Linked DNA regions of Rattus norvegicus. Each later gene encodes a partner of the first gene's protein in a complex. Links are inferred from orthologs where the notes say so. Each region holds a gene or a part of one and is shown in the gene's direction. Other genes may lie near its edges.

Region 1 (6,826 bases):
GGTTGTGGAGATGGGTGGCTGCCATGTCCTGGTGGTCCTAGAATATTTGTTTTCAGGAAGTCATCTTTTCCTTCTGCCCTGGGTCCTTACTCTGCAGGACTTGTGGTCCTACTCTTCCTGACTACTAAAGCCACCCATGGAGCTTGCCCCACTGCCTCTCATACTCATGCGGGGTTGGTCCTTGGCATGGTTTACATCATTGGATCGTGACTGTAGCTCTTTGGGGCCTGCAGCCTCCTCTACCTGTTCACATGTTCAGTACTAGGATGTACTGCAAGGTGGGCAGGGTGTTGGCAGGACAGGTCTGGGCTCACAGGTGAGTGGGCTGGGAAGGGTGTTCTTGGCTAGTCTGGAGCTCAGAACTGAGGTGAGCCAGGTAAAGGGTTGGCAGGCCCTGCTTCTTTACCACTCTGGCTTTGGGGGATAGATCGGCCATTGTGGTAGTGGCTACCTCCCTAGACTAGTAGGGAAACTAGTGTAGCTATTCTGGCCTACCAGGTTCTAGGATAGAATGTCTGAGTTAGCAGAGAAGATAGGAGCTCATTTAGGCCAGGCAACGTGGCGTGGGTGTGGTAACTTCTGACATTACTCTGGCCTGCAGATGGTGTGTACACCTTGTGTTTCCCTGTGCCCAACTCCTTTTTTTTTTTATTTCTTAGATTTATTTATTTTATTTATGTGAGTATACCATTGCTGTCCTCAGACATACCAGAAGAAGGCATTGGATACTATTAGGGACAGTTATGAGCCACCATGTGGGTGTTGGGAATTGAACTCAGGACCTCTAGAACCACTGAGCTATCTTTCCAGCCCCCTGTGCCCAACTCTTAGTGACATGCTCTCATTTAACACCCCTAGCCCCTTCAACCATCACTTGTGTGATGTTCTCTCCAAAACAGCCACTTATTGCAGCTGTGAATAGTCTTCACTTCGTAAGTTTGGGGACACAGTCACCCTGGAATATTGAGTTTTAAGTTCTTCTTGTTGTGTGTCTACTCTTTGGCTTAACTGGTTTTTCAGAGCAGTCAGGTAGTAATGTCCTGTCCTAACCATCCCCCTCCTCAATCTTGTCTTCCAGGGACCTCTGGTGCTCTCTGGTAGCAGCTATTCCAACCCACACCTAGTGCTCGTGTTATCAACACTTGTAAACATCTGCTACCTTTTGTCATCCTCCATTCATAGGGCTGTATCTTAGCTACAAAGGTCACCACTCAGAAAGCCGTGTAGTAAGTCTAGTCACCCCTCAGTATCTGGGAGAGCATTGTAAGACTTTCCATTGATCCCAAAGTCCCCAGATGCTCGGGTCCCTTCTGTGAGATGATGCAGTGTTTGCACGTGACGTGTACTTTGTGCTGTGGTTTAAAACACTGGGTATCCAGTTGTAGCAGAGGCCAGGAGGTAGTGGTTGCTGTTGGAATGATGTGTAGGTACATATCCAGTTAGACGCAGCCATCACAGGCGCTCCAACAGGTTGGTCGCCACAGGGTGGGGAATGCTAGAGTTGGTTACACTTGCTTCAGTTAAACAACTGTCCTAGGGAACATTAAAATTCAGTTTCTTCGGGTTTTTGGTGTCCTCCACTCCCTCCCCTTCTCCTTCCCCTCTAAACATACAGGGTTTGTCTGTGAAGCCCTGGCTGGGCTGGAGCTCATGTTGTAGGCCAGGCTTGTCTTGAACTCAGAGATCTACCTGCTTCTCTGCTTCTGGAGTTCTGGGATTAAAGATTGTGATACTGTGCCCTGTAAGGTCTATTTAAATTGTGTGTGCGTGTGTGTGTGTGTGTGTGTGTGTGTCCATCCGTCCGTGTCCCAATATATACATGTACATGTGTCACAGCACCCTTGGGGAGGTCAGAGAAAGCTTTTAAGAGTTAGACTCTTCTACTATGGGTCTTTTGGGTCTGTGTAGCAAACACAAGAGCCATCTTAGCAGCCTTTGGAACTTGTAGGTGCTCTGTTCTATACCTGCTGTTGGCTAAACCCTGGTCTGTGATGGACAGCCAGGTACATAGCCAGGATTTAGATTGTGCAGACAGTGGGCAGTAAGGCCTAGCTTGAGGTAGGTAGGCCGATTTGGCCCAAGGTCTGTTTCTCTTCTCTCATATATTGAGGTTTAGACATTCTTTTGCAGGGGGTGAGGGGTTGTTCAGACAGTTTTTCTCTGTATTCCTGTCTGTCTTGGTACTCACTCTGTAGTCCATGCTGGCCTCAAACTCTGAGATTCGCCTCTCTTCTGGTCCCGGAATGCTGGGTGGGATTAGAGGTGTGGCACACATCAGAGATTCCTGCAGGTGTCTGTTTCAGAGGTGGCCTGGGAAGGCACACAGGTATTGCTCCATGTCAGCTCAATTAATAGCCTTATGTGGCCTAGCTGGCCTTACTCTCTCATGTCCCTTTCAGTGTTTGTGACCAGTCACAAGAAACGGAGCCCCCTGCGAACCCCCTGTGGTAATATGTGTGTCAGGATACACCAGTCTTTGTATGCACATTTTAAGGCCTGGTTGGCTTCCTTGGCTAGGCAGGCCCACCTCAGGACACACACTCCTTACCCAGTTGAGGGGCAGACCCCGCAGGGGCCCACTGTGCAGAAGGATATGGCAGCGAACGCTGTGCCCTGGGAAGAAGCTTTTATGTGGGCAGTTTGTTGGAGGCCTGGCTCCTCAGCAGTGCAACTCCACTTGCCAAATGCTGAGGCTAAAGTCAGCAACCTGGTCTTCAGGAGGCAGAGGCACGGCCATCAAGAAAGGAGGAGAGCATGCTTGACTGAAGAGTGAGAGGCTATCTGTAAGACCACCCTAGGTCAGGCAGCTTTCTTCAGGGGATCAGTTGAGCATTGCTGGAGAGCTTTGGGCCTCCTTTCATGTGTGGTGGAGGCCTGTATTGGCAGGGCACTGGGTGAAGACTTAAGAATGTGAACAGCCAGGGAAGGTGATGGATGTCAGAACTCTTTGGTGTCCTTCAAGAGTGATGGTGGCAGGGGCATCACAGTCGACATGGGTAACTGGGAGCTGACTGCATCTCAGTTCTGCCAAGGGTCAGCCTGTCTGTCTTCTGTGTAGATGACGACAATCCTCCGGTGTCCTTCGTGAAGTTCTCTCCAAATGGCAAGTACATCCTGGCTGCAACTTTGGACAAGTGAGTGCTTTGGTTCCCTGAGAGCGATCTCACAGCTTTTGTTGGTGGGGTTCCTCTCCTCTTGTGTTGTTTCTTCTCCCAGTTGTCCAGTTGAGCTGTTTTATATCTGTGCATTAGAGCTCCTTCCTGGGTTGTGGGCTGAGGGGTTGAAGAAAGGACTGACCACTCTAGTTTTAGTATGAGAAGGGTTTGAGGCCTAGGCTGTTCTGCCGATTCCCAGCCTCCAAGCATGTTCACGTAGCAGAATCTCACTGCCATACATGATGACCCCCTCTGGCGTACACTGTACAAGGTCTCCAAAGAACCATGCCTAGTTGGCTCTTGAGAGTTGCCTGATTGGCATTATCCTGGTTAGCCTCCCACTCCTTCCCCAAGGTCGACATGAGCCTTTTCCTGTGGAGAGAAACTGGGCGTTTCTGGAGCCAACATGGTTTTCCACATTCTGCTTCTAGTTTTGGGAAGACAGCCAGCAATCTGTTTCTTCAGTCCGTCTCTGAGCTACAAGTATTAGGGTCCTTTTGTTTGCTCTTGTGTATCGTAGAGTGGCTGAACTTGGTGAACTAAAGGATCCTTTGTCCTGATACTCATGGTTGTTGAGATATGGTGGCATTAGGGGAGGCAGGGCATGCCAAAGATGACCTGTCCTTCACTTCTACTCTCTTGTCTTTCAGCACACTGAAGCTCTGGGACTACAGCAAAGGGAAGGTGAGCTTCAGGCATGTGGCTTGTATGGCCTGCATGCCAGTCCCAGGTACCAGGTTGAGGGTGGTGTAGCTGACCCATGAGTTGTAGCAGGAGCGGCTCAGCCATCTTATTTGATGAGAGAGAATGGCACAGCTCCCTTTAAAGACATGTTTTCTGAAGGACTAATCTGCAGGTCCAAGTCTGGGCCTTGTGTATGTCTAGAATATTTTTTTTTCTTTTTTTCGGAGCTGGGGACCGAACCCAGGGCCTTGCGCTTCCTAGGCAAGCGCTCTACCACTGAGCTAAATCCCCAACCCCTAGAATATTTTTAGAATATGTTCATGCTGTGGTTGATGTGTAATACCCAGAATTTGGAATCCTCTGGAATGAAAGCTAACCGTAAGTGCTAACAGCACACACTCACCTTTTCAGTGCCTGAAGACATACACCGGCCACAAGAATGAGAAGTACTGCATATTTGCCAACTTCTCCGTGACAGGTGGGAAGGTGAGTTCCCACTGAGCTGCTCCTACCCTGCCAGCTCTCTAAGAGGCCACCCATCCTAGGTGGCTTCATGTCTTTATGAAGCGTCCCTCAGCCTATGGAACAAACCCACACTTGCTGTTTTTGGATGGAGCTGTGATGTCTTGCACTTGGATATGCTTGAAGATCTAAGATGAGGTGGTGACTGGTGACTGGATAGCTCCACTGACTGAGGGTGGCATGGGAGGCATTTAGAGTGACGACAGCCAGCTTACCTGTGCTGTCTACCCAGCATATAACCTGATGTCTTTATCGCCTGTCCTTGCTGGCTGCCTGCTTGCTGCTGCAGTGGATCGTGTCTGGCTCTGAAGATAACCTGGTATATATCTGGAATCTGCAGACCAAGGAGATCGTACAGAAGTTGCAGGGTCATACAGGTGGGCAGTCATTGCAGATGGGCCGCATGGGTGGGGGGGAGCCCCTCAGCTCCCCAAGGTGCTTGGTTGTCTCTGGGGTTTAGAGACACACAAGCAAGTGTTGCTACTCTGTTCTCCCTGCCATCCCAGCCCTGCAGGCCTGAGAGGCCTTGAAAGCAGCATCAAGGGCTCTTACCTAGAGTCCTGGGCCTGGTTGGCTTTGGGTCTTAAGTTGGACTCAAGCCTCCTGGGAGTACAGCTTGTTTTCCTCACTGGAGAAACAAGGCACAGGTACCTGGGGTCTGCAGCTGCTGGTACTAGGACTCAGCGAATATGGAGAGTGTCTAACTCACATTTCCTGGAGGCTCCCGGCTCTTTCAGGGATGTTAGTTTTCCATCTGCTGGGCAAATGCTCAGCCTTGAGTGAGTACAGCTATGGAGTTAACTTATTTTAGTTCTTGCCTGCCCACTTTCTGAAAGGGGGCAGGGATATCAGATGCTCCTTTGTAGTGCTAAGGAGTGGAGGGCTCTTTTTCTGAAAGAGCAGTTGTCTTTGGCTGGGATTGGCTTGGTCACACTTGCTGTGGAACCTGAGGGAACAGGCAGAGTTAGTGGACCTCACGTGCCATCCTTTAATGCCCGTCTCCTTGCTCAGGTGTGTGGTCACCTCTTGCTCAGGTAGAACAACCTCATAAATAGTGGGCAAGTGGGCGTAGTCAGCCCTGAGACCAGTGAGGAGGCCAGGTAGACAGAAGTGAGGACCCTTGGATCCTCACCAAGCAGAGCAAGGCTGAGGTTCTTGGTGCTATTCCTGGCGTTCTGAGCATCCCCTAAGTTGTGCGGTGCTCCTGTGGGTGGTGAGGCATGTGCTGCTACTGCTTCTCCTGGAGTGACTGACTAGCTCTGCTTTCAGATGTCGTGATCTCCACGGCCTGTCACCCAACAGAGAACATCATTGCCTCAGCAGCGTTAGAGAATGACAAAACAATCAAACTGTGGAAGAGTGACTGCTAAGCCCTGGCTCCATGGGAGACTTCAGGAAGCCACCCAGATTGGCAAGAAACACATGTGGGGCAGAGGCGTGGGGCCAGGTTGGGTTGACAGGCTTGGTGCACCTCCTCTCTGAAGATGTCGGGCCAGGGGCGTGCATATATACCACCGAGTCTTGATAGCCACTGTGATATTTCTTGCCAATTCTGTCTCTGCCTGGGGAAGTTCCTGGTCTGTTCTGTGTGCTCAGAGGCAACAAATTTTTTAATTTTTTATTACAAGAGTGAGTCCAACTCCTCATGGGTTGTTTTTCTCTGTAATTGTTGTTTTGGTATTGTATTGCCCAGTGCACACACTGGAACAGGACCTACAGCCCTACTCCCATTCCCTGCCTCCAGCCTTGGCCTGCTTGTTCAAGTTCCCTACCTGTAATAGTACCCAGTGTGCTTCCATGAGTTTCTGGAAACACAGAAAGGTTGTAAGTTGTATCTGTGTCAAGTCCCTTTGTTTTTTTGGAGTTCATAGGTCAACACTGACCTCTCAGTGGTTGCAGTGTCCCCTTGTCTCACTGGTATCACTCAGTAAAGCCACACACTGTAATAAAAGGTGGGTATGGACTGGGTGTGGCCCTGAGTTCTGACAGAGCTCTTCACATCTGGGCTTTAGAACATACCCCCTCCCTGCAGGAGTTGGAAAAGTCTCTGGGAGGTGGGTTCTGCTGGGCCTCCTCTTCCCAGTGGCTGTGTTGGCACTAAGTGTTTCGAGAGGAAGAACCTCAGTTGAGAGAGTGGAAGGAAGGAAGTCTTGGAAAGGCACCATGTAGTGAGGTTCTGGACCCTCTTTATCTCTGAATGAGGCTCAGGGTCACCTGTGCAGGAGGGAGAAGTTCAATTTGGTGCTTGCCTCAGCAGATACAGCCTCCTGCCTTGGCCTCTGAATCCACCAAACCTCTCTTAGCCCTTGCTCCAAATGGATCCTCAGGTGACCAGGCTAGAAAGAGATAATGGCCAAGCTAGAACTGCACAGCATTTTCACAACTGCTTCTGGCCAAACCCAGGTGGCCTGACACGAAGCAGACTGCAGAGGGTCTGAGTCCAGATGGGTGGGCAAGGCTGCTGG
Region 2 (6,826 bases), on another chromosome or scaffold:
ATATGCACACATGCACGCACACACGCGCGCACACACGAACAACAAAAGATATTTTTATTAGCTATATTTATAACCTGTCTATCTATCACACGATATTTTCTTATTAACCTCCTTTTTTCTTCCCCATCTGACAGTTTCATGCAGATGAAAAACATTTTTCTTTCTGAGCCATTTAAGGATAGATTATATAGTTTTATATTTCTGTGTACTTGTTTAGGCTATTGTGTCATGAACCCAAAGCAGTTTCTGGTTTTGTGGGGGGAGGCAGTGGTTTCTTTGGCTGCTGATTTAAATCACTAGGCACTGATTAATTTGATATGTTTTGTGTTCTTTCTATAGCTCGAGATGCAGCTGTGCAGAAAATTGAGACGATTATTAAGGAGCAGTTTGCCCTTGAAATGAAGAATAAGGAACATGAGATTGATGTCATTGACCAGGTATAGTAACGATAAATTGAAAACACTAAGTTTGTGGAGGGGAAAGTATATTATTTGATGAGATTTATTTTTAAAAAATTTCCAAAAAAAAAAAAAAAACCCAAAACAGAAACAAAACCTTAAGATCTGACTCAGGGTAAAGGTATATCTGAGTGAGAGAATGCTTGGACCCAGTGAGCAACCCCATCTCCTCCTCTGGCCAAAAATGAAAGAAAGGAAAAAAACAGAAACAAAATTTTCCAATGTTGGGCATGGTGGCACACATCTTTAATCTCGGCATTCCAGGTGGACCTCTATGAGTTCTAAGACATCGTGGTCTTTATAATGAATTTCAGGCAGGTGAGGCTACAGAATGAGACTCTGTCTCAAAACAAAAACAAAAAAACTATCCTGCTGAGGGATGGGTACACAGCTGTAATCTCAGTACTTGGAGGTAGGGACAGGAGAACCAGACATTTAAGGTCATCCTCACTAATTGTATTTGAAGCCAGCCTGGGACACATGAGTCTTTGTCTCAAATACCCAGAATAAGTAAAAGTTGGAGAAAAGATAAAAAGTCCTACTTGAGCTTCCATCTCCGAAGGTAATCCTTTTTGGTATCGTTCTCAGTATATTACAGTTATTTCTTAACTAATAAATATGCTCACACTTACTTTTTTTTTGTTTCTTCGTTTTATTTGTAGGTTTTTTTTTAAGGATTTGTTTATTATGTATCATGTCCTTCTGTCTGTATGTAGGCCAGAAGAGGTCACCAGATCACTTTATAGATGGTTGTGAGCCACCATGTGATTACTAGGAATTGAAATCGGGACCCTGGAAGAGTGGCCATCTCTCCAGCCCCTGCTTTTGTTCTTTTGAGACAAGTTTTCTCTCTTGGCTGTTGTGTGAGTCCTGGAACTCAGTCTGTAGACATAGTTGGTCTCAAACTTCAGAGATCCACCTGCCTCTGCCTCTCCAAGTGCTGGGGTCAAAGGCTTATGCCACTAGACCTGGGGTATTTGGGATTTTTAAGACTTTACTGATCAGGGAAGCACACACACTGTCCCCGTCCCCAGTCTGCTCTGGGGTAGAAGTATAAACTCCAGGACTTTGCTTATATACATGAAGTACATCTCCAGCCTGAATCTCTGCCAGTTTAATTAGATGAGGAGTTTTTATTTATTGAAGCAATTCAAGAAGCTGAGTTTTTGCTTTTGTTGTTTGTGTTTGTTCTGTGGATTTTAAGTCGTTATTTGCCGATTTAAACAACATTTAAACTCTCACTTGTTTTTAGCGGCTGATTGAAGCCAGAAGGATGATGGATAAGCTCCGAGCCTGCATTGTAGCAAACTATTATGCATCGGCTGGTCTCCTGAAGGTTTCTGAGGTAAGCGTTCCTCATGGTCCAGGCTATTCTCAGCCACCATTTTCCTTGTCTTGGGGGTAATCAGGACCGTGTGGATTCCCTACCATTGAGACCTTTCTGATATTGGCCTTTAGCATTTAATAAGCCCGAGCACCTTTCTGAGGAACATAGATCACCAGGCAATTTGTTTAACATGGTCCTATCCTTTCAGTACTAATTGCTAGTATAATACTGGCAGGGAAACCTCACTGCAACTCCTCCTGGGTCTTCCTCTTTTGCTTTGCCTTACCCAGCGTGCCTTGCTCTTTCAAAGGCTACTTCTTAATGATAGTTTTCAGTATAAGAGAAAGACAAACATGTTTACATACCATGTAGATTCATCACTTTAAAATTCTATTGTTTTATTTCCTCTAAAGCATTTAAATTAAGGTCTTAGACATCATAACATTTCGGCGCTCACTATAAAACTTTTTTACTCCATTTTCTCTTTCTCCTGGCAGCCGTGTATTAACCCCAGAGTGCCAGTGGAGGACACACAGGCACAGTACCTGTAAAAACACAAAATCAGAGACTATAAAATCAAGCAAATGATCAGTAAGATAAAACAAACAGAAAACCAGATAAAGCACTATCCTGTGGGTGTCCTTCCAGGGTTTCTCTGCATCTAAGGTTCCCTTAAGGAATTAGTCCTGGGTGAGGGTTGCCCTCCGTCTTGCAGTAGGACTTTGTTTTAAATCGATTGCGTCTACAAAGACCCCAGTTTCCCCCTCCTGTTCTCTGTGTGCTCGTGCCTGTAATCAACCCCCGGCTTGCACATGTAATAGGCATATAATGTACAATTCCGTAACGATGACAGCCCTTAGGCAAGTTCTGAATATTCTGGCTGGACGTGAATTGTGGAAGCTGTGTTTTCCACAGTTCTGGCATCACTGATTGAATAGCTCAGTATTGGTTCAGCACAGTGCACATCATGAGCTGCATTTGCGTGAGATAAAGGAGGCGGTAAGCAGATGCTGACCTTGAAAAACTGGTTAGTGGTTTGCTGATTTACCACTGGGATCTGGGCCGTCTGGTTGTCTAGAAATGCACCAGTTTCAGCCCCTGGTGTTCTGATGAAGACCTACCAAGGGCTGGAGATGGCTCAGTAGTTGGCGTTAGTTGGGTTCAGTTCCCAGTGTCCACATGGTGGCTTGCAACTCTCAGTAACTTTACGTTCCGGGGATCTAGCACCCTCCTCTGTCTCCTGCAGCTGTCAGGTATCCACATGTTGCACATGTGTGCATGCACACAAACCACTCAGACAGATAAAATAAACCCTTAAAGATTAAAAAAAGGGACTGGGGATTTAGCTCAACCTAGGAAGCGCAAGGCCCTGGGTTCGGTCCCCAGCTCCGGAAAAAAAAGAACCAAAAAAAAAAGATTAAAAAAAATTCAAGAAATCTTTGGCCAGGCTTTGTGTTATAAAGCCATGTACTTATTTTAGTTTAGAGAACACACAGTACTGAGAAGCACTGCTACCGAATTAATCAGCTCTTTATCTTATTTTAAAACATTAGTCTCTTCACCCACACCACAGCTTTTGTTTTGATTAATAGCTGTGTAACTCCCTCCCCTCCCCCTCCCTCCCTCCCTCCCTCCCTCTCTCTCTCTCTCTCTCTCTCTCTCTCACTCTCTCCCTCCCCGCCCTGTGTGTGTGTGTGTGTGTGTGTGTGTGTGTGTGTGTGTGTGTGTGTGTGTGTGTGTTGTCATGTGTGCACGAGTCTGAGTTGGGATGAAATCTAGCAGCTGCAATCCTCCTGCCTCTGCCTCCCAAGTACTGAGATTCCGTACAGTAGCGCCGTGCCCAGCCAGTGATACTGGTGGTTTTTTGTTTGTTTTTGTTTTGTTCGTGTGTGTTTGTTGTTTTATTTTTTAAATCGTGTGTTTGTATCTGGGTGTGTCCACATGAGAGCAGGTACCAGTGGCGGCCAGAGGTGTCCTGATTCATTCCCTTGGAGCTAGAGTTGAAGTTGTGAGCACATGACATGAATGCTAGAGCACCCAACTGAACAACTGAACTTAGGCCCCTGAGCTAGCCTGAAGGAATGTTCTTCGTTGCTGATTTTAAAGCTTCTACTTTTGTTGTTTTTTAACTCCAGTGTGGGTTTCATTTTTTTATACTGTGTACTTTCATTGTTTGTTTTGAGGCTATATATTCCAGGCTGACCTGGGACTGAAGATGAATTTACTTACTTAGATTCCAAAGACCTTGGGATTGTAGGTGTGCGTGAGCCACAGTGCCTGTTCTATGTCCTTTTAACATCAAATCTTGCTGGGTGTGGTGGACTTACCCTGGGCTCCTGGCCTTCTTGCCTCTACCTTCTGGATGCCAGGATTACCGGCATGCTCCCAAGCTGCATTTGTGTGGTACTACAGAAAGCCTTATTTTACTTTTTGAATGTAGTCCAGGGTGGTCCAGAACTTCAGATTCTCCTGCCTCAGTTTCCTCAGTTTCCTGAGTGATGGATTCATGTGTGTGTGCCCCTACTGTGCCTGGCTCATTTTTGACTTTGAGTGTTAGAACTTTTGCACAATTACTTGTCACTCTAGTTTCTGTTTTGTTGACACAGGCTAAGTATAAGAATTTATGGGTACAGAGAGATTTTGTTCTTTCCTTTTTCTTTCATTTATTTTTGGTTTGAGCCTAGCCTTTACTAGCTGAGCCGTCTCTCCATCAGGATATGGAGAGAGATTTGAAAGGTTGTTAACATGATCTTAACGTAAGTAGAAGTTTTCAGGAGTTAGGTTTTTATCAGTGTTTGTTGGTTTAATTAAGTTTGCTTCTTTCCTTTTTCTAGGGATTAAAGACATTTGATCCCATGGCTTTTAACCACCCTGCTATCAAGAAATTTTTGGAATCACCTTCTAGGTCATCGTCTCCTACTAATCAGAGATCAGAAACACCATCTGCCAATCACTCTGAAAGTGACTCTTTATCTCAGCACAATGACTTCCTATCTGACAAAGACAATAACAGCAACGTGGATGTGGAGGAAAGGCTCTCAAGCATCGGGGAGCAGAGACTGAGCCGGAACACGGGAAGGGTACAGGCTCCAGGGGGAACAGACCTGCTGTTTATTACATGTGGGCGGGACAGAAGTACTTTGATTTTTACAGCAGAGAAAAGGGCCTTTGGTTCTTTGAGATAGGGTCTCAGTCTGGGGCTTACCAGACTAGCCTATAACTTGAGGTATCTCTTGGTGTGTGTGTGTGTGTGTGTGTGTGTGTGCGCGCGCGCGTGTGTGTGCACACTTTGGTGGCATTCTTACTTTAGAGCAAAGCACTCTAGAGTGCAGCATAGCTCTTGGACGTCATTCGTGAAGTTGGGAAAGAACCTTAAGGATTAGAGTCAGATGATTATGGCTGAATGTCTAAGTAGTGACTCCTGTAATTTGTCATACAAAATCCAAAATACACAATTCTTTTCTTGACATGGTTTTGCTATGAGGCCCTGGCCAGCCAGGCACTGATTATGTGGACCAGGCTGGTCTGGAACTGTAGTGATCGCCCTACCTCTGCTTCCCGAGGGCTGGAATCACTGCGCCCAGCTATGATAGTGTGAGTGCCTAAATTGAAGCTACACTGTGCCTGGTTTATTTGGTGTTTTATTTATCTATAGAGTCATAGTCAAGTTAGACCAGTGATGGCATAGCCACAGCTTCAGTTATAAAAGGGAACTTCCAAGTTGCTTTCCATACATTTAGACATCAATGTTTGATTTCATTTTTATAAAAACAAATTGTTATTTTTCATTACAAATTCACTTGTCTTTTGATGAAAAAATAAAACAGGAAGGCAAATTAACGCATACTTTGACACCTCATAATCAGGACTCTGAGAATTTAGATTTACTTGTGTTTGGTCAGCATTCTTTCTCTTACCTCTTAAGCTGGGATTGCAGGCCTGTGCCTCATACCTGGAATATTTGGTACTGGAGCCTGAACCCAAGGCTTGGTACAGGCCAGAGAAGTACTCTATCAACTGTTACATCCCTAGACCCACTAATTTGTTGTTGGTAGTGGTGGTGTTTTTTTTGAGACAGTCCTGGAAACACTCTTTGTAGATTAGGAAGTCCTCAGAACTCAAGTGCTGGGATCAAAGGCATGTGCCACCATGCCCAGCTCTTTCTTTACAAAAGGAAAATCTGCTGGAGGAATAGCCCAGTGGTTAAGAGTACAAGTTGCTCTTCCAGAGGACCTGGGTTTGTTTCCCAGCATCCATATGACAGCTCACAGTCATCGTAACTTTAGTTCCTAGGGATTGACACTCTCTTGTGGCCTCAGTGGGCACCAGGCATACATGCAAGCAAAACAGACATAAAAAAAATATAAATGAACAACAACAACAACAAGCACGCTGCCAGGCGTGCTGGCCCATGCCCACAGTCTGAGCACTTGGAGAGCAGACGAGAGCCGCAGAGCAAGTCCCAGGCCTGCTGGGCTGTAGAAGACCCTGCTGTCTGAGAGAGAACACTTTCTGAGTTCTTTATGCCTCCATTATGGCAGCACCCTATCGAATATTGTTTAAGTGAGCACAACCCTTGGTCGTTTCTTTCAGGACACGTCTAGTATTAGTGGCTCCCACAAACGAGAACTACGGAGCGCCGACCTCGCAGGAGATGAGACTTCCCGACTGTTCGTAAAGAAGACAATAGTAGTCGGCAACGTGTCCAAGTGAGTACCCGAGAGATGCTTCCCATCGGCCGCTCACTTCCACACGAGCACTGGGCCGCCACTGCTGCTTTACCGTGGTCATGCTGTAGGAGAAAGGCTCTGGAGTTCTGTCTCCCTTGCTCGTCTGTAAAGTAGACGATGGTCTAGAAGTATTCGCAGAGTAACCTTGCGCCTTAGTAGAACTACGACGATCTCATCTGGTCTCCCCGATTCACTGATACGCTGCCCTGGACCCTGTCTGTGACGGCGCCTGGTGATGAATGGAGTGTTTACTCTTGAATGCACTGTAGAAGAGCAGGGTGGCATACTTTGCACTCTTCGAGTTACTTATG
Region 3 (5,887 bases), on another chromosome or scaffold:
TGGTGGCCACACCTAGCCAGGTGAGTAGCCACAGTGCTCGGGGTGGGTGAAAGTTCTGCTTTGGGCCTCATCTATATCCTCATCTCTACCCTGGATACTGTCTCCTAGCATCACCAGCAACAGCAGCAGCAGCAGCAGCAGCAGCAAATCAAACGGTCAGCTCGGATGTGTGGTGAGTGTGAGGCATGCCGACGCACTGAGGACTGTGGCCACTGTGACTTCTGTCGTGACATGAAGAAGTTTGGGGGCCCCAACAAGATCCGGCAGAAGTGCCGGCTTCGCCAGTGTCAGCTGCGGGCACGGGTGAGCATGGGCAGAGCTGGGCAAGATCAGATAGGAGAGCATGGCTGGGAGGCTCAAGTAGGGCTGCTTGAGCTACAAATAAGAAAGTACAGGTGGGGTGGAGCTTGGTTATGTTCAGACATGTGGGAGGGGCCTAGCAAGTTCAGGGGAAAGCTGGGGGTAGGGTGGGGGGGATGATAGCTTTAGGTTGTCAAGCATGCCAGGACACATGGGGTAGGATGGAGTATATCTGTGGTGAGGGGAGGGGAAAACTGCATTTGTTAGACCAGGCAAGGCCAGGGTAAGTAAATGGGGTTAGGACAGGGAAGACCTTTATTTTCCTGGGGCTGACCTAGGCCTTCCTCCTGCGCACAGGAATCGTACAAGTACTTCCCTTCCTCGGTGAGTCCAGCCCCCCAGGGCGGGGCAGGGCTGCGGGCAGGGCGGTCAGGGCCAGTCCTGAGATTCTGCCCCGCAGCTCTCGCCGGTGACACCCTCAGAGGCCCTGCCAAGGCCCCGCCGGCCACCACCCACTCAACAGCAGCCACAGCAATCCCAGAAGCTGGGGCGTATCCGTGAAGATGAGGGGACAGTGTTGTCATCAGTGGTTAAGGAGCCACCAGAGGCTACAGCAACACCTGAGCCACTCTCAGATGAGGACCTAGCACTGGACCCTGATCTGTACCAGGATTTCTGTGCTGGGGCCTTTGATGATCACGTAGTGAGTAACATGGTCATCCTGTGGTGGGGAGGAAGGGGAAAAGGTGAAGTCGTAGAATGGGGAGGGGGCCAGAGGGCGAACAGGCTGCTTGGGAAATGAGCAGCAGGTGTGGTAACGAGTCATCAGGTGGGTCAGCGCATGCCCTGCTTGCAGCCATGGATGAGTGACGCAGAAGAGTCCCCGTTCCTGGATCCTGCACTGAGGAAGCGGGCAGTAAAAGTGAAGCATGTGAAGCGTCGAGAGAAGAAGTCTGAGAAGAAGGTGATGGAGAGGGTAAAATGGGCATTAAAGGAAGAGGATGGCGCGGGGAGGGAGGTGGAGACAGCCAGACATCTGGAGCCTTGGAGAGGCAGACAAGGTCTGAGGCTGACCTCTGTGGAAGCCTGACATGACGTGGCTTGCCCTTTAGAAGGAGGAGAGATACAAACGGCACCGACAGAAGCAGAAACATAAAGACAAGTGGAAACACCCAGAGAGGGCCGATGCCAAGGACCCTGCATCTCTACCGCAGTGCCTGGGACCTGGCTGTGTGCGCGCCGCCCAGCCTGGGTCCAAGTATTGTTCAGATGACTGTGGCATGAAGCTGGCAGCCAAGTGAGTCTTCCCTGGGGCACTGAGGGGTCAGGAAGTACAGAGTAGGGGACGGCCAGACTTCCCTCCGTATACCTACAGTTAGTTGTCTAGGTACTGTTCAATCAAAACCCCATGGGCACACGAAGCCACTATGCAGTCCCCACCCCACTTCCCACCCCCCCAGTCACTCAACCTTGAACCTGTTTGAGTGACCCATCATTCACTGTCCCTTGGTCAGCTCACTCACTGCTTCTGGTGCCTCTCTGCCTGCACCTCACTGTCTCCCTGCAGCCGAATCTATGAGATCCTCCCCCAGCGAATCCAGCAATGGCAGCAAAGCCCCTGCATCGCCGAAGAGCACGGCAAGAAGCTCCTTGAACGGATCCGCCGTGAGCAGCAGAGTGCCCGCACCCGCCTTCAGGAAATGGAGCGCAGATTCCACGAGCTTGAGGCCATCATCCTTCGTGCTAAGCAGCAAGCTGTGCGAGAGGACGAGGAGGTAAAGACGTGGTAGAGTGGGCAGGACCCGGTATGGCGTCCTGCCTGGCCTCATCTTTCCTTTCAACCTATGCAGAACAATGAGAATGACAGCGATGACACCGATCTGCAGATCTTCTGTGTCTCCTGTGGGCATCCCATCAACCCCCGAGTTGCCTTGCGTCACATGGAGCGCTGCTATGCTAAGGTCAGGAGGCTAAGGGAGTGGATGGCCGGGGGTATCTATGGGCCCACAGGGACAGATTGGTTGCTTGGGTAGTGTCATGAGAGGGCACCCAACTTCCTTTTATCTGTGTTCATCCTTCCAGTATGAGAGCCAGACATCCTTTGGGTCCATGTACCCCACACGCATTGAGGGGTGAGTAAGCCGTGTGGAGTAGGAGCAGGGTGGTGAGGGTGGGGTGGGAAATAGGATTATGTGTGGAACTGGGGCCTTTGACGTGTTCTTGGAGCTACTCAAGGCCATATCCTGTGTTAATCCCACAGGGCTACCCGACTCTTCTGTGATGTCTACAATCCTCAGAGCAAAACATACTGTAAGAGGCTCCAGGTGCTATGTCCTGAGCACTCACGGGACCCCAAAGTAAGGTTTTTCCTCAAACCCCCTGCGTCCTGTCCTACCCTGCTTCACGTCTCACACCCATTCGTTCTTTTCCTCCCTTCTTTCTTCCTTCTCTTTTCCTGTCAGCTTCCGTTCCCGCCCTTTCTGTTTAACCATCCCCCACGCCTACTCTTTTGTCTCCTCTTGACTCCCCTCACCTGCTCACACCTGCCTTGCTGTCTCTGCAGGTGCCAGCTGATGAGGTCTGTGGGTGTCCACTTGTACGCGATGTCTTTGAGCTTACAGGTGACTTCTGCCGCCTGCCCAAGCGCCAGTGTAATCGCCATTACTGCTGGGAGAAGCTTCGGCGAGCAGAAGTGGACTTGGAGCGCGTGCGGGTGGTAGGTTTAACACTGGGGTAACCAGAGTCCCGGGCTCCGGGAGCTGCTTCTCATGCTTCCCTCCACTTCCTCGGCAGTGGTACAAGCTGGACGAGCTGTTTGAGCAGGAACGTAATGTTCGCACAGCCATGACCAACAGAGCAGGATTGCTTGCCCTGATGCTGCACCAAACCATCCAACACGATCCACTTACTACCGACCTTCGCTCTAGTGCTGACCGCTGAAAGTCACCAGCCCAGAGCCTCTCAGCCCTGCATTCAGTCAGGGAGGGGCTCTGCATTTCAGCTCGCTCTTCCTCCGTTCATCTGTTTATTCTACCACCCTTAGTTTTCTTCTTACCATCCATGTTTTGGCTTCTGTTTGCCCTTATCAGAAGGGTCTCTGCTTTCCCTTTGTCTCCTCTCCATAGTCAGTGCTGGGTGAAAGTCAAGTTTACTCAGCCTTGCCTATACCCTCCCCCAAAATAAACAGGTTTTGTTAATAAAATTTTGAACAAGAATATCTTTGGATAGTCTCCACTTTCAGTTGTGGTCCCAAACCCAGGACAAGGTAGCTGTACTTAGACAGGCTGTGGGAAATGTGCAGGCTGCGAGTACTGAGCTGACTCATCCTGTCCTCCCTTTGGCTATGAGAGTATGACCTGTTTGAGGGAAGTCCAATCATCAGGCCCCTGTGTTGGTATAATGGTATCCTGTCAGCACTGTGAAAGTCCTGCTAAGCAGGCTGTGATTAGTGAGGCCTGGGAGGGTGGGTGTAGGAAGCACACAAAATGGAGTCAGCTAAAGCAGCACGGGGTTAGTTTGGTTTATTCTCCACTGCTCTTCCATGAGTCAAAGCATTGACTCATTATCTTGGGTGGCTCAGAGTGTCCTAGGCCCTTGTGAGTGAGCCTATTAGTTGTTTAAGGAGGTTAACACGGCCGGTTAAACGAAGCTCAAGGAGCAGAAGTCCTAGGAGGAGATCGAGGGAAATTTGAGACCCATATATAAGGACTACAATCAAACCAGCATGGAACCAGGAACTGTCATCTCTCCTTCTGATGTTTATTTAGACTTTGTTTGACCTTTTCAAAGGTGTTTTAAGTGAGGACTGATAGCCTGCATAGAAACAGCTTTCCCCAAGGACACACCTAGATCTCCCCAAACACAAACAGCAAATCTGCCCCCACCAGTTGTGTAGAACTGTCCCAGAGATTTCATCCTGAGTGCGACGCATTCCAGTGGAAGGCTGTGGGTGTCCTATATCACCAGAGATGCTTCTGAGCTGCCTGTGGCATTGAAAGTTCATCTCTTACCAAGAAAATAGTCATTAGGGCTGCTCTTCCAGCCTGGCTGTCTTACTAGGGTAGAGGTTGGTAAGAGTCTGTAGCATGGTGGCCGGAAGCCAGGAAGGAGCCTGGTGGAGCACTCTGGGGCCTTTGTAAGTGCACACCTTGAGAAAATGTGAACTGGAACGCAAGGCAGGACCTCTGTAGTCTGAGGCCATGCATTTTCCTGAGTACAGAAGTACAGGTTAACCAGGTTCCCTGCAGTGCCAAGTAGGCTTTTGGATAGGATAGGCTGAGGGTGATATTGTGGGATTCTGAGAAGGGAATTTTTGGAAATTATAGTTAGACACTGTCAAGCATGAAGCATTGCCTATGGAATCTAAGGTTAACTGTAGTGTAGAGATATGACAAGTCGTTTGTAACAATTAGTATTTATTTATTTACATTCTGCTCGCTGCCCCTTCCCAGTCACCCCCTCCCACAATCCCCTTATCCCCATCCCCATCCCTCTGGTTGGGTGGAGGCCCCCTGGATATTCTCCCGCCCTGGAACATCGAGTCTCTGAGAGGTTAGGTGCATCCTCCCCCACTGCGGCCAGACAAGGCAGCCCCGCTAGAAGAACACATCCCACGTACAGGCCACAGCTTTTGGGACAGTGCCCACTCCAGTTGTTTGGGACCCATATCTACTTCATACATGCAGGGAGGCCTAGGTCCAGCCTTTGTATGTTCTTTGGTTGGTGGTTCATTCCTGAGAGCCCCAATGGTCCAGGTTAGTTGACTCTTGGTCTTCCTGTGGAGTTCCTATCTCCTTTGGGGTCTGCAATCCTTCCTCCTAATCTTCCAGAAGAGTCTCCAGGCTCTGTCCACTGTTTGGCTGAGTGTCCGCATCTGTCTGTCTGAGTCAGCTGCTGGATGGAGCTTCTCAGGGGACAACCATGCTAGACTAAGCTTAGTGGCAATCCTGGCTAACACAGGCTTTAGGTGTTCGGTGTTAGGTGACATAGGTGTCCAGTGTTTGCACAGAACCTGGCAACAGGCGAGGCATGAGGAAGTTTTCCCCAGTGGTTAGTGTTCCCACAATCCAGGTGGATTCATCTTTGCAGGGCTCCATTTTCTTGGAGACCTCAGAGGTTACTGTTGGGAATGGCAGAAAACCTAAGCATTCTAAATGCCATACTCAGCAGTGTTCTGAAAGGTTTGAGGACTACAACCTCTCTTAACCCTTTTAAAGACTATTTATTTATTCTAAGTACACTGTAGCTGTCTTCAGGCACACCAGAAGAGGGCACCGAATCCCATTACAGATGGTTGTGAGCCACCATGTGGTTGCTGGGATTTGAACTCAGGACCTCTGGAGGAGCAGTCAGTGCTCTTAACCACTGAGCCATCTCTGAAGCCCTATAATCTATTAAGTATGTCTGAGGCACACAAAGTCTGTTCCTAGTTACCTGCTTCAGACTCAATCCTGCAAACATGCAGAGGAAGCTAGATGAGGCTTATTTCTAGAATTAGTATCCTGTATGAATCCCAGTACCATGACAAAGTTTATGTACACATAATAATCTTAGACATTTTGAGACAATATTTATATCTTAAGGGAAG

Evidence for each region.
Region 2: Wdr5 (region 1) and Yeats2 share a complex: the UniProt entries of both Homo sapiens proteins name them as parts of the ADA2A-containing complex. The link is inferred for Rattus norvegicus from reciprocal best matches to the Homo sapiens genes WDR5 and YEATS2.
Region 3: Wdr5 (region 1) and Cxxc1 share a complex: the UniProt entries of both Homo sapiens proteins name them as parts of the SET1 complex. The link is inferred for Rattus norvegicus from reciprocal best matches to the Homo sapiens genes WDR5 and CXXC1.

What each region holds. Positions count from the first base shown.
Region 1 is NC_086021.1:31,247,321-31,254,146, forward strand, and holds part of Wdr5 (WD repeat-containing protein 5), read left to right. Parts: intron 1-3,058; coding exon 3,059-3,134; intron 3,135-3,805; coding exon 3,806-3,839; intron 3,840-4,250; coding exon 4,251-4,325; intron 4,326-4,650; coding exon 4,651-4,738; intron 4,739-5,630; coding exon 5,631-5,731; 3' UTR 5,732-6,826.
Region 2 is NC_086029.1:94,313,270-94,320,095, reverse strand, and holds part of Yeats2 (YEATS domain-containing protein 2), read left to right. Parts: intron 1-339; coding exon 340-437; intron 438-1,710; coding exon 1,711-1,803; intron 1,804-4,619; coding exon 4,620-4,865; intron 4,866-6,378; coding exon 6,379-6,494; intron 6,495-6,826. UniProt on the Homo sapiens protein: Chromatin reader component of the ATAC complex, a complex with histone acetyltransferase activity on histones H3 and H4. YEATS2 specifically recognizes and binds histone H3 crotonylated at 'Lys-27' (H3K27cr).
Region 3 is NC_086036.1:70,090,272-70,096,158, forward strand, and holds the end of Cxxc1 (CXXC-type zinc finger protein 1), read left to right. Parts: coding exon 1-20; intron 21-108; coding exon 109-303; intron 304-657; coding exon 658-684; intron 685-760; coding exon 761-1,003; intron 1,004-1,156; coding exon 1,157-1,264; coding exon of another isoform or gene 1,265-1,276; intron 1,277-1,412; coding exon 1,413-1,597; intron 1,598-1,867; coding exon 1,868-2,075; intron 2,076-2,150; coding exon 2,151-2,261; intron 2,262-2,382; coding exon 2,383-2,432; intron 2,433-2,560; coding exon 2,561-2,657; coding exon of another isoform or gene 2,658-2,863; coding exon 2,864-3,016; intron 3,017-3,093; coding exon 3,094-3,240; 3' UTR 3,241-3,515; downstream 3,516-5,887. UniProt on the Homo sapiens protein: Transcriptional activator that exhibits a unique DNA binding specificity for CpG unmethylated motifs with a preference for CpGG.